Linked DNA regions of Oryctolagus cuniculus. The protein of the gene in region 1 interacts with the protein of each later gene in a biochemical or structural test. Links are inferred from orthologs where the notes say so. Each region holds a gene or a part of one and is shown on either strand. Other genes may lie near its edges.

Evidence for each region.
Region 2: the proteins of BMPR1B (region 1) and BMP2 form a complex in vitro, tested with the Homo sapiens proteins (3 studies listed by BioGRID and IntAct, with this or other methods). The link is inferred for Oryctolagus cuniculus from reciprocal best matches to the Homo sapiens genes BMPR1B and BMP2.

The regions. Positions count from the first base shown.
Region 1 is NC_091439.1:70,357,191-70,361,473, forward strand, and holds the start of BMPR1B (bone morphogenetic protein receptor type-1B), read right to left. Parts: upstream 2,801-4,283; 5' UTR 2,675-2,800; coding exon 2,602-2,674; intron 1-2,601. UniProt on the Homo sapiens protein: On ligand binding, forms a receptor complex consisting of two type II and two type I transmembrane serine/threonine kinases.
Region 2 is NC_091442.1:31,668,121-31,672,297, forward strand, and holds the start of BMP2 (bone morphogenetic protein 2 precursor), read left to right. Parts: upstream 1-1,377; 5' UTR 1,378-1,439; intron 1,440-2,616; 5' UTR 2,617-2,623; coding exon 2,624-2,966; intron 2,967-4,177. UniProt on the Homo sapiens protein: Growth factor of the TGF-beta superfamily that plays essential roles in many developmental processes, including cardiogenesis, neurogenesis, and osteogenesis. Induces cartilage and bone formation.

The sequences.
Region 1 (4,283 bases):
TCATTTTGCAATGCATTTACTTCAATAAGGACTTAGGGTCTCAGCACATTAATCTTGGCCTTGTCACTCACTTAAGAGTCATGACCACTTCATTGATCTGTGTTTCCTATTTACCTTTTAGTGTGTGATCCTCATTCTCACTGAAGCAAATGCAGAATTAATGATTGAAAAGGTTTTACGCATTATCAATGCATATTTAACTTTGGTACTCCAAAGTGTTTAATTTGGTGACGCCTGTAAGTGGCTGTGTATAGCACACTCTGTCCTCATCAGGGAAAAAATTACAAAGAACATTAAGTTCATTTAGCTTATTTTGTAAAAACTTAAGAGAAATTTCTTACAAAATAAAAAAGCTTGACTGATGACAAAGCTGGGAACATCAACGGGGACTCAGCGTGTGAATCACACTCAGAGGAGCTACCAGTCTGCAGAACCTTGGCTCAGTGTACAATTCCAGCTTCCTTGTTTGCTAGCCTTGCAAATACTGATTATTAAAAATCACACTATGGCCGGCGCTGCAGCTCACTAGGCTAATCCTCCGCCTGCGGCGCCGGCACACCGGGTTCTAGTCCCGGTCGGGGCGCCGGATTCTGTCCCGGTTGCCCCTCTTCCAGGCCAGCTCTCTGCTGTGGCCCAGGAGTGCAGTGGAGGATGGCCCAAGTGCTTGGGCCCTGCACCCCATGGGAGACCAGGAGAAGCACCTGGCTCCTGCCTTCGGATCAGCGCGGTGCGCCGGCCGCGCTGCGGTGGCCATTGGAGGGTGAATCAACGGCAAAGGAAAACCTTTCTCTCTGTCTCTCTCTCTCACTGTCCACTCTGCCTGTGGGGGAAAAAAAAAAAAAGTAAAAATCACACTAAGAATAGTAAACTCCCAGGTCTGTTATGTGCCAGATTCTATTCCATATGCTAAATGTTTCCTCATTTAGTTATCAAGCAACGTTATGGTAAATACAGTTATTATCCGCATTTTACAGTTGAAAAAACTGATATATAAACACGATAAGCTCATGTGAGAGTACACCTCTGCTAAGTGGCAGAGCTAGGATTCAAATCCAGGCATTCTGGGTCCAGAATTCACATTCCTAACCCACTGTGCTATAAGATAAACAGAAACACACATGCACGAGTGCATGCATCAAAGAGGCTTAGACAGGGAGTTTAAGAATGAAAAGCTATATGGCCCAGAAAAGCAAGGCAGGTCTCTGGGCTTCAACCTCCTCCTTGAAAAACAACTAGACATTATTTTATACAACATTGTTTCAAAGTACCTTCTATGTCTAAGATTTCATGATTCAGTCCAGAGCATATGGCCTGTTTGTTATTGGCATAACTCACAGTAAAATCAGATATTCATGTGTTTCAAGGAAAATGTTAAAAGAGGATACAAAATTATCTTCAGGCAATGAAGCAATAGTAGCAGCTGAAACAGAGGAATGAGAATTTTATCTCACATCTATCATGCTGATTTTCACTTCCTGCAACAGCGTTCAGAAGCAGTTTCATCGAGGTTTTCTATTCTTTTCTAGAAGGTACCAGATTCTAACTTTTGGAGAAAAGGAGAAAAACTAGCAAGCCAGGTAGATGAACTACCTGTCATTCCTTCATATTAATGCACAAAACTCCCTTCAGTTCCACTATCTATACCAGAAATTAAAAGCATTTTTCTACAGAGCCATGCCATAAAATGTTGTATTTTAGTTACATCATGGAATACTTAGAGATTCTGAAAACCTTAATCCTGTAAGTGCCAACCCCAAGTACAGAACAACTGATAACACACACTTATCTGTTAAGTAGCACAGCCAAATTAGTTCTGCAGAACTCATCCACACACACAGAAAGTTGAACTGTAAATGCATTTCAATCTTGTGCATGCTCCTTTTATCATCAGGCTTTGGTGTATAAAGCCATTATTTCCTTATTGTCAACTTTTTAACTCCCTCATTGCAATCACTACCACCACTAATTATTTCATATTCATTGTTACCTTTCTTTTAATTTGAAAATAGTACACTTACTCTTAGAAATTATTCATTTACTTAAAATTTTCAGATAATATATTAAACTGTTACATTTTAGCTTGATACCATAATCTGCACAGAACTATCAAAAAAAGCCAGACTCTTAAATGTGGACAAGCATCTGACAGATTCACAAGCTACAATCACTGCCACTATAAAATGACAGACTAACTCAATGCATGCATATAAAAATTATAGTTCACTTCAAAGTTAATTAACTAACCTACACACATCTAACAGTACTCAAATTCATCAAGGTATTGCCTGTTAGAATTATTTCAGTACTTCACATAGCAAGTATCACAGCATGTTGACAGTTCCACTCTGCAACTTCCAAAGTGGACTGAGTGTAATTCCAAGTGGCTAGAGAAAAGAGAAACTTTAAATCCGTTTAAAAGGATACAGACAGAGCACCCCAAAAGCCTTGCCCTGACAGAGCACGCAGTACAAGTGACAGAGCAGTTGGAGAATGGGGATCGGGACACTCTGAGCCACTGAACCTATGTGTGACCGAGCCAGGAAAGCAGACCTGAAGTCAGCCCCTGCAGCACTGCTGTGTGGGGCGCCTTGATCTCCTTACCCCTCGCGTGCACAGACAGAAGAATGACGGAGGAAATGGGAAGCTGCCCGCGGAGTTCCTCCAGCCAACCCATTGCAGTAGGAGAGCAGTCAGTGGGACCCGCCCGGGAGCCTCCCGCCTCCGGCTTCTGGGCCTCCGAGCTCTCTGCGCGCCTCGCGCGGCTGCCACTCTTGTCAGAGCCGCCAGCAAGCCCGAGAGACAGGAGCCTGAAAGACAAGCCTGTTACAAACTGGTTCTGTCACCGCCGAGACCTCAGCGGATCACCTCGCGGGGCGGACAACAAAGGGCGCTGAGGCCCCAGAGCAGGACTGTTTTCTTAAGAAGGGGGCCTGACCCAGCTGCCCACACCAGGGCCAGCCCTCGCGGGGGGCTTCGTGGGGCCCCACCCACGCGCGGGTGGCAAGAAAACAGTTTCTTTCCTTCCTCCAAGGTGTTTCCCTGAGAAATGTGCAAAGATCAGGGGAAATCGTTTCTTTTCTGTGACGAAATGACGAGCGTGGTGTCGCGCATCAGGGCAGTCTGCTCACAGGTTTAAATAATGATGCAAAGCCCCTGGAGTCAAGTGCACAGGCCCGGGAGAGCATCCCAGAGACGCACAAAGCCATCTCCAGCGAATGCTGCGCGCTGCCACTCACTCATCAATTTATTTTCAATGACTCTAGTTTTAACTTACTTGTAGAAAAGCGCTGGGAACCCAGGCAACCTTACTATACAAATAAAACCTTTCTAAGTGATTCCGTATTTTAGATTTTAACTGTAACTGTTTCTCAATGTAAACTATGGTAAAGTTTCATTTCTCGTGATCTTCAATGATCAACAGGAAAGTATTTCTTTTAATGTTTTTTCTTTTATTCTGAGATCTGTCGAGAGTAAATGAAGAGCGAGAACTATAGACAGGCAGCATGTGTAGAAATTAAAATACCACCAGTTTGCCTGACAAAGGATTAATGAGAGCAGTTATATTTCAGTTGCTATATCCATAGGTTCACTTCATATTTTGAGAATTATTTTCTTAGAACAAAATCTCTGCCATCTGCTTGCTTTAAAGACCACCCCCAGCCCCCTCCCACCACATCCTACACCCACCCACCGTTGTCTCTTGGGGGCCATTCAAGTCTACTCTCCAGACCAGAGAAGCGCATCAGGTGTTTTAGGATATTACAATCAACCCCACACCCCCAGTCCATAGAGGAAACTGAATAGAAACTCAGCGCTTTCACCATTCAGGCAATCTTGAATACTCAGAGCATGATACACCACACATTTCACAGAAGCCACACTTCCGGCTTGTCAGGAACATGGCAGTTGGGGACGGTGAAAAGGAATTCCCTTTCCGTGTTAGTTATCCATATCTGCTTTAGTAAGGAACGGAGACTGGGGCACAGTACAACGAAAAAGGTCATCGGGAGAGGAGTAGCTATGTGTGGGCAAAGATGACAAAAATCAGGCAAATGTCGTTCAAGCGTGAGCCAACTTCACAACACGGTTCCTCTGCCAGTTTGGAGCCCAGCCTTGAACTTTGGGGCAAGGAGTGAATAGCTAGAAAGTGACACAGCTCCCACTTCCCCAGTGTGGCCATCCACAAAAGGGTTCACAGCACAGAGAAGATCTTTGCCCTCTCTCCAGAATCATAAATCAGTGCAAGCCAATTTATATCAGCAACCATTTGCGCTTTTAAACTA
Region 2 (4,177 bases), on another chromosome or scaffold:
GTGACATCTCCGGCCCTAGGGCAGGGGGGTGGAAGCGCCAGCGCCCCCCTCGGCGGCCGCGCGCCCCCGCCCTTGGCCCCACCCCGCTGCGGCTGCCCCCGGCGCGCCGTCCACACCCCTGAGCGCCGCTCCCGCCCGCTCGGGGATCCCCGGCGAGCAGTGCCGCCGAGGGGGAGGTGTTCGGCCGGGGCCGGGAGGGAGCCAGCAGGCGGCGTCCCCTTTAAAAGCCGCGAGCGCCGCGCCACGGCGCCGCCGCCGCCGCCGTCGCCGCCGGAGTCCTCGCCCCGCCGCGCTGCGCCCGGCTCGCGCTGCGCCCGCCGCTCCGGTTCCCACACCCCGCCGGGGATTGGCAGCCGCCGCCGGACATCAGCCGCCGCCGGCGACCCGAGCGCCCTCGAGGCGAGCGCCGCGCGGATTACTGGGCGCTGCGAGGCACCCGCGCACCGCAGACCCCTCGCGGGTTGGAGCACCCGGCCGTTGCGCGCCACAGCTCGGTGGCCTCGGCTGCCCGGGCCGCGCCGGAGCCGCGGACGGGCGCGCGGAGCGCCGGAGAGTGCGGAGCCAAGCCCGAGCGCCGCGATGCCGAGCACCTCCTGCCGGGGATCGGGGGCTCGAGACGTGCCAGCCGAGGTGTGATCGGACCCCAAGCCGGCCACAAAGGGCACTTGGCCCGAGGGCTAGGACAGCAGCGAGGGCAGAGCGCGGCCACCCGCTTCGGCGGCCCGGGACTCGGCTGGGCTCGCGGAGAATGCGCCCGAGGACGACGGGGCGCCGGAGCCGCGGCTGTTTCCACTGGCCAGCGCTGATGGGGGTGCGCTGGCGGCAGGCAGAGTGATGCGGGGGGGCAGCTCGCCGGGCATCGAGATCGCCGCTGTGCCCTTCCCCGGACCCGGCGTCGCCCAGGATGGCTGCCCCGAGCCATGGGCCGCGGCGGAGCTAGCGCTGAGCGCCCGACCCTCGCCCCCCGGAGTCCCGCAGGCGGCCCCGCGCGCGGCCACGCGTCCCGCGGGCGCTGGTGCCTGAGGACGACGACAGCAGCAGCCTTTCCTCTCTGCCTTCCCTTCCCTTCCCCGGCCCGCACTCCTCCCCCTGCTCGCTGTTGTTGTGTGTCAGCACTTGGCTGGAGACTTCTTGAACTTGCAGCCTTAACTTGCGCTGCTCCCCGCTTCGCGCCGGTGCCCGCGCCCCGGCGGAGCCGCCTCGCTGCCTCCGAGCCCCGCCGCGCTGCAGCCCTCTGCCGGGCCGAGCCCGGGACGCCGCGCCCTGCGCGAGGAGAGGGACTCGGCGGCCGGCGCCGGGAGGAGAAGCCGGAGGCCACGGGAAGGGAGCGGACGCCCGGTCCCCGCGCCAGGTCCCTGGGCCAGAGCTTTTTCCATGTGGAGGCTCTTTCAATGGACGTGTCCCCGCGGGCTTCTTAGACGGACTGCGGTCTCCTAAAGGTACGGGACGCGCGGGCCCCGGGGTGCGGGGCGGGCGCTGGGCTCGCGCGGCGGCGGCGGCGGCGGCGGACCCCCCTCCGGGGCGCGGCCGGGCAGGACGTAAACAGACCCCTCTCCGGGGCCACGTGCAGCCCAGCCCGGCGGGGGCGCCCCCTTTCCCCGCGCCCGCACGCTTCCGCCCCTCCTCCGCTCTTCCTCGATATATTATTAAGGCTGTTAACACTTAGATGATTTTTTTAAAAAATTAAAAAGTCAAAGAGCTGCCTTGGAGAGGATGGCCCCTGGGTTTCACCCGTTAGCTGCCAACCTGTACGCCGTGGCACGGCGCTGTCTTCATCAAGATTCTGGGGGAGACCCGCGCTCTCCATCAGAGCCCCGTCCCCCGTAGGAAAGCGCTGGGCGTTAGGGGTTCTCTCCGCCGGTTGCTAGAAGCGCTAGAGGGCCAGGGTCCCGCTCGCGCCGTGGGTTTCCCCGCTGGCACGTGCGCGCGTGGAGATCGGCCCTTTATGTAACGCCGGGAAGGTACCTGCGTACGCGACCGCACCGGGGGCTCGCGGGCGGGCGTGGAGCGGGGCGTCCCGACACCCAGCGGGCAGCCACCGCCAAGCGGCTTCAGAAGTCGTGGCCCTGAGTTTGCAGGGTCTGGAAGTGGTGAACTGTGGCTCAGGAAGTTCCGTGCCCCGGTTCTCAGGAAGTCACATGCGCGCGCGTTTATAGGCAAGGGAGCGCTCTGAGTTTGGCTAGGCGCGGCAGGGTGTCAGATCAAGCGGTGATCCCCCAGACTCCCTGCATGGCTGCCAGCTCTGGTGTGTGTGTGTGTGTGTGTGTGTGTGTGTGTGTGTGTGTGTGTGTATGGGAGGGGGGAGTGACAACCACTTAAGTTCAGTGGGGAGGGAGCGAGGGATAAGGCCAACCCCCAAATCAAGTATCAGACGGGCCCAGGCTGGGGTGGGAGAGAGAAAAGTGCTCTGGGTCAGGAACTTGGGGCCCTCCATTCCCCCACCCCACCCCAAACGTTAGAGCTGTGGCCGCTCTGACATAGCCAGCAAGTGCTGCAAGGCAGGAGGGCGCCCTGGAGGAGGAGGCGAGCGAGCGCAGCGGGAGCCCAGGCCGCGGGGGCGGGAAGGGAGAGGACTGGGCGGGGAACTCGGGTGACTCACGTCGGCCCTGTCCGCAGGTCGACCATGGTGGCCGGGACCCGCTGTCTTCTAGCGTTGCTGCTTCCCCAGGTCCTCCTGGGCGGCGCGGCCGGCCTCATCCCCGAGCTGGGCCGCAGGAAGTTCGCGGCGTCATCGGGCCGCCCCTCGCCCCAGCCCTCGGACGACATCCTGAGCGAGTTCGAGTTGCGGTTGCTCAGCATGTTCGGTCTGAAGCAGAGACCCACCCCTAGCAGGGACGCCGTGGTGCCCCCCTACATGCTGGACTTGTACCGCCGGCACTCCGGCCAGCCTGGCGCGCCCGCCCCGGACCACCGGCTGGAGAGGGCAGCCAGCCGCGCCAACACGGTGCGCAGCTTCCACCACGAAGGTAAGGCGAGGCGCGCGCCGCAGGGGCAGAGACGCGGGCGGGTTGCTACCCGCAACGCCGAGCACCAAGGCCGGCTGCGGGCATCCCTGGAGAGGCAGTTCAGCCAGAGCTCTGCGGATGCTGTCCCTCTTGCTTCCGTACCGACCTTTCTGAATCTGATTTTCAGGCACTGCTCGTGTGGCGGGCCAGCCAGGGATTCCCCCTTGGTCGGTCCGTACCCGTTTCCTGGCACGCAGCCAGGAGGGCGACTCCTCCTCCAGGAACCAGAGCGGAATCAAGGGATGGGGAAGACGAGGCTAAAAGGCATGCCCCTGGTCAGCTAAGCGTGCAGGAATTCCGCAGTGGGAGAAGGAGGAGGTTTGGGATTTCTTGAAGTCTGTTTGGAAGCCCTTGCTCCATAAATCTGTGTCTCCAGCTTAAGCCAGGGTTTCAAGCTAGACTGAGGCAAGGGCGGAATTCTCAGATAGTCTTGAAAAATCAAAGCCCAGGGCCCCCAAGTCTTCCTAATTTACAGTGGATCTGGGCCTGCGTTGGAAGATTTCGAATCCCTATCTAATCCCCGTGGGAGATCAATTCCACAATCAATCTTATTGTTTCCACAATGACTTTCTTGTCTCGTGCTTAAATCTGAGATAGGCTCAGAGTAGAGACAAAGCAAGCCTTCAGATAAAACCTTTTGCAGCAGCTGCCTGTCTTCCTTCACATGCATTGAAATGTGATTTTTTTTTTCTTTTATGATCCTGGATGTGGTTTTCCTAAGGTAGGATATTTCTGCTGGTTTCATCAGGAAGGCATTTAGTGGATTTGAAATGTCTTAGGGCAGCTATGGAGCTCTGTTGCACCTAACTTCTTAGCACCGTTAGTCAACTACATGCTACATTTCCATTCTTTTGTTCTTTTAAATGTGCCTTTGGCTTAATAGCTCTAAATACAGAATGCATTCCTGCGAATTCTAGAAAAGAGTGGAGTTACAGATCACAGAACAGCCACTTGCACTGACTGATGTTCCCTTTTCCTTGACGAAAACAATTTTCTCTCAGTGGGACGTTTTCAAGAACGATGGGTGATAATGAGAAGAAGTCCCAAAGGCAGGTCCCATCACACAAGCTACTTCTCATCCCAGCTGTCACAGTGAAGGGAGCTGGGAGCTGGTAGCACGTGTTCCAGCACATTTTGAAGTAAAGTGTTTTCTGAAGATCTGAGGATCAACA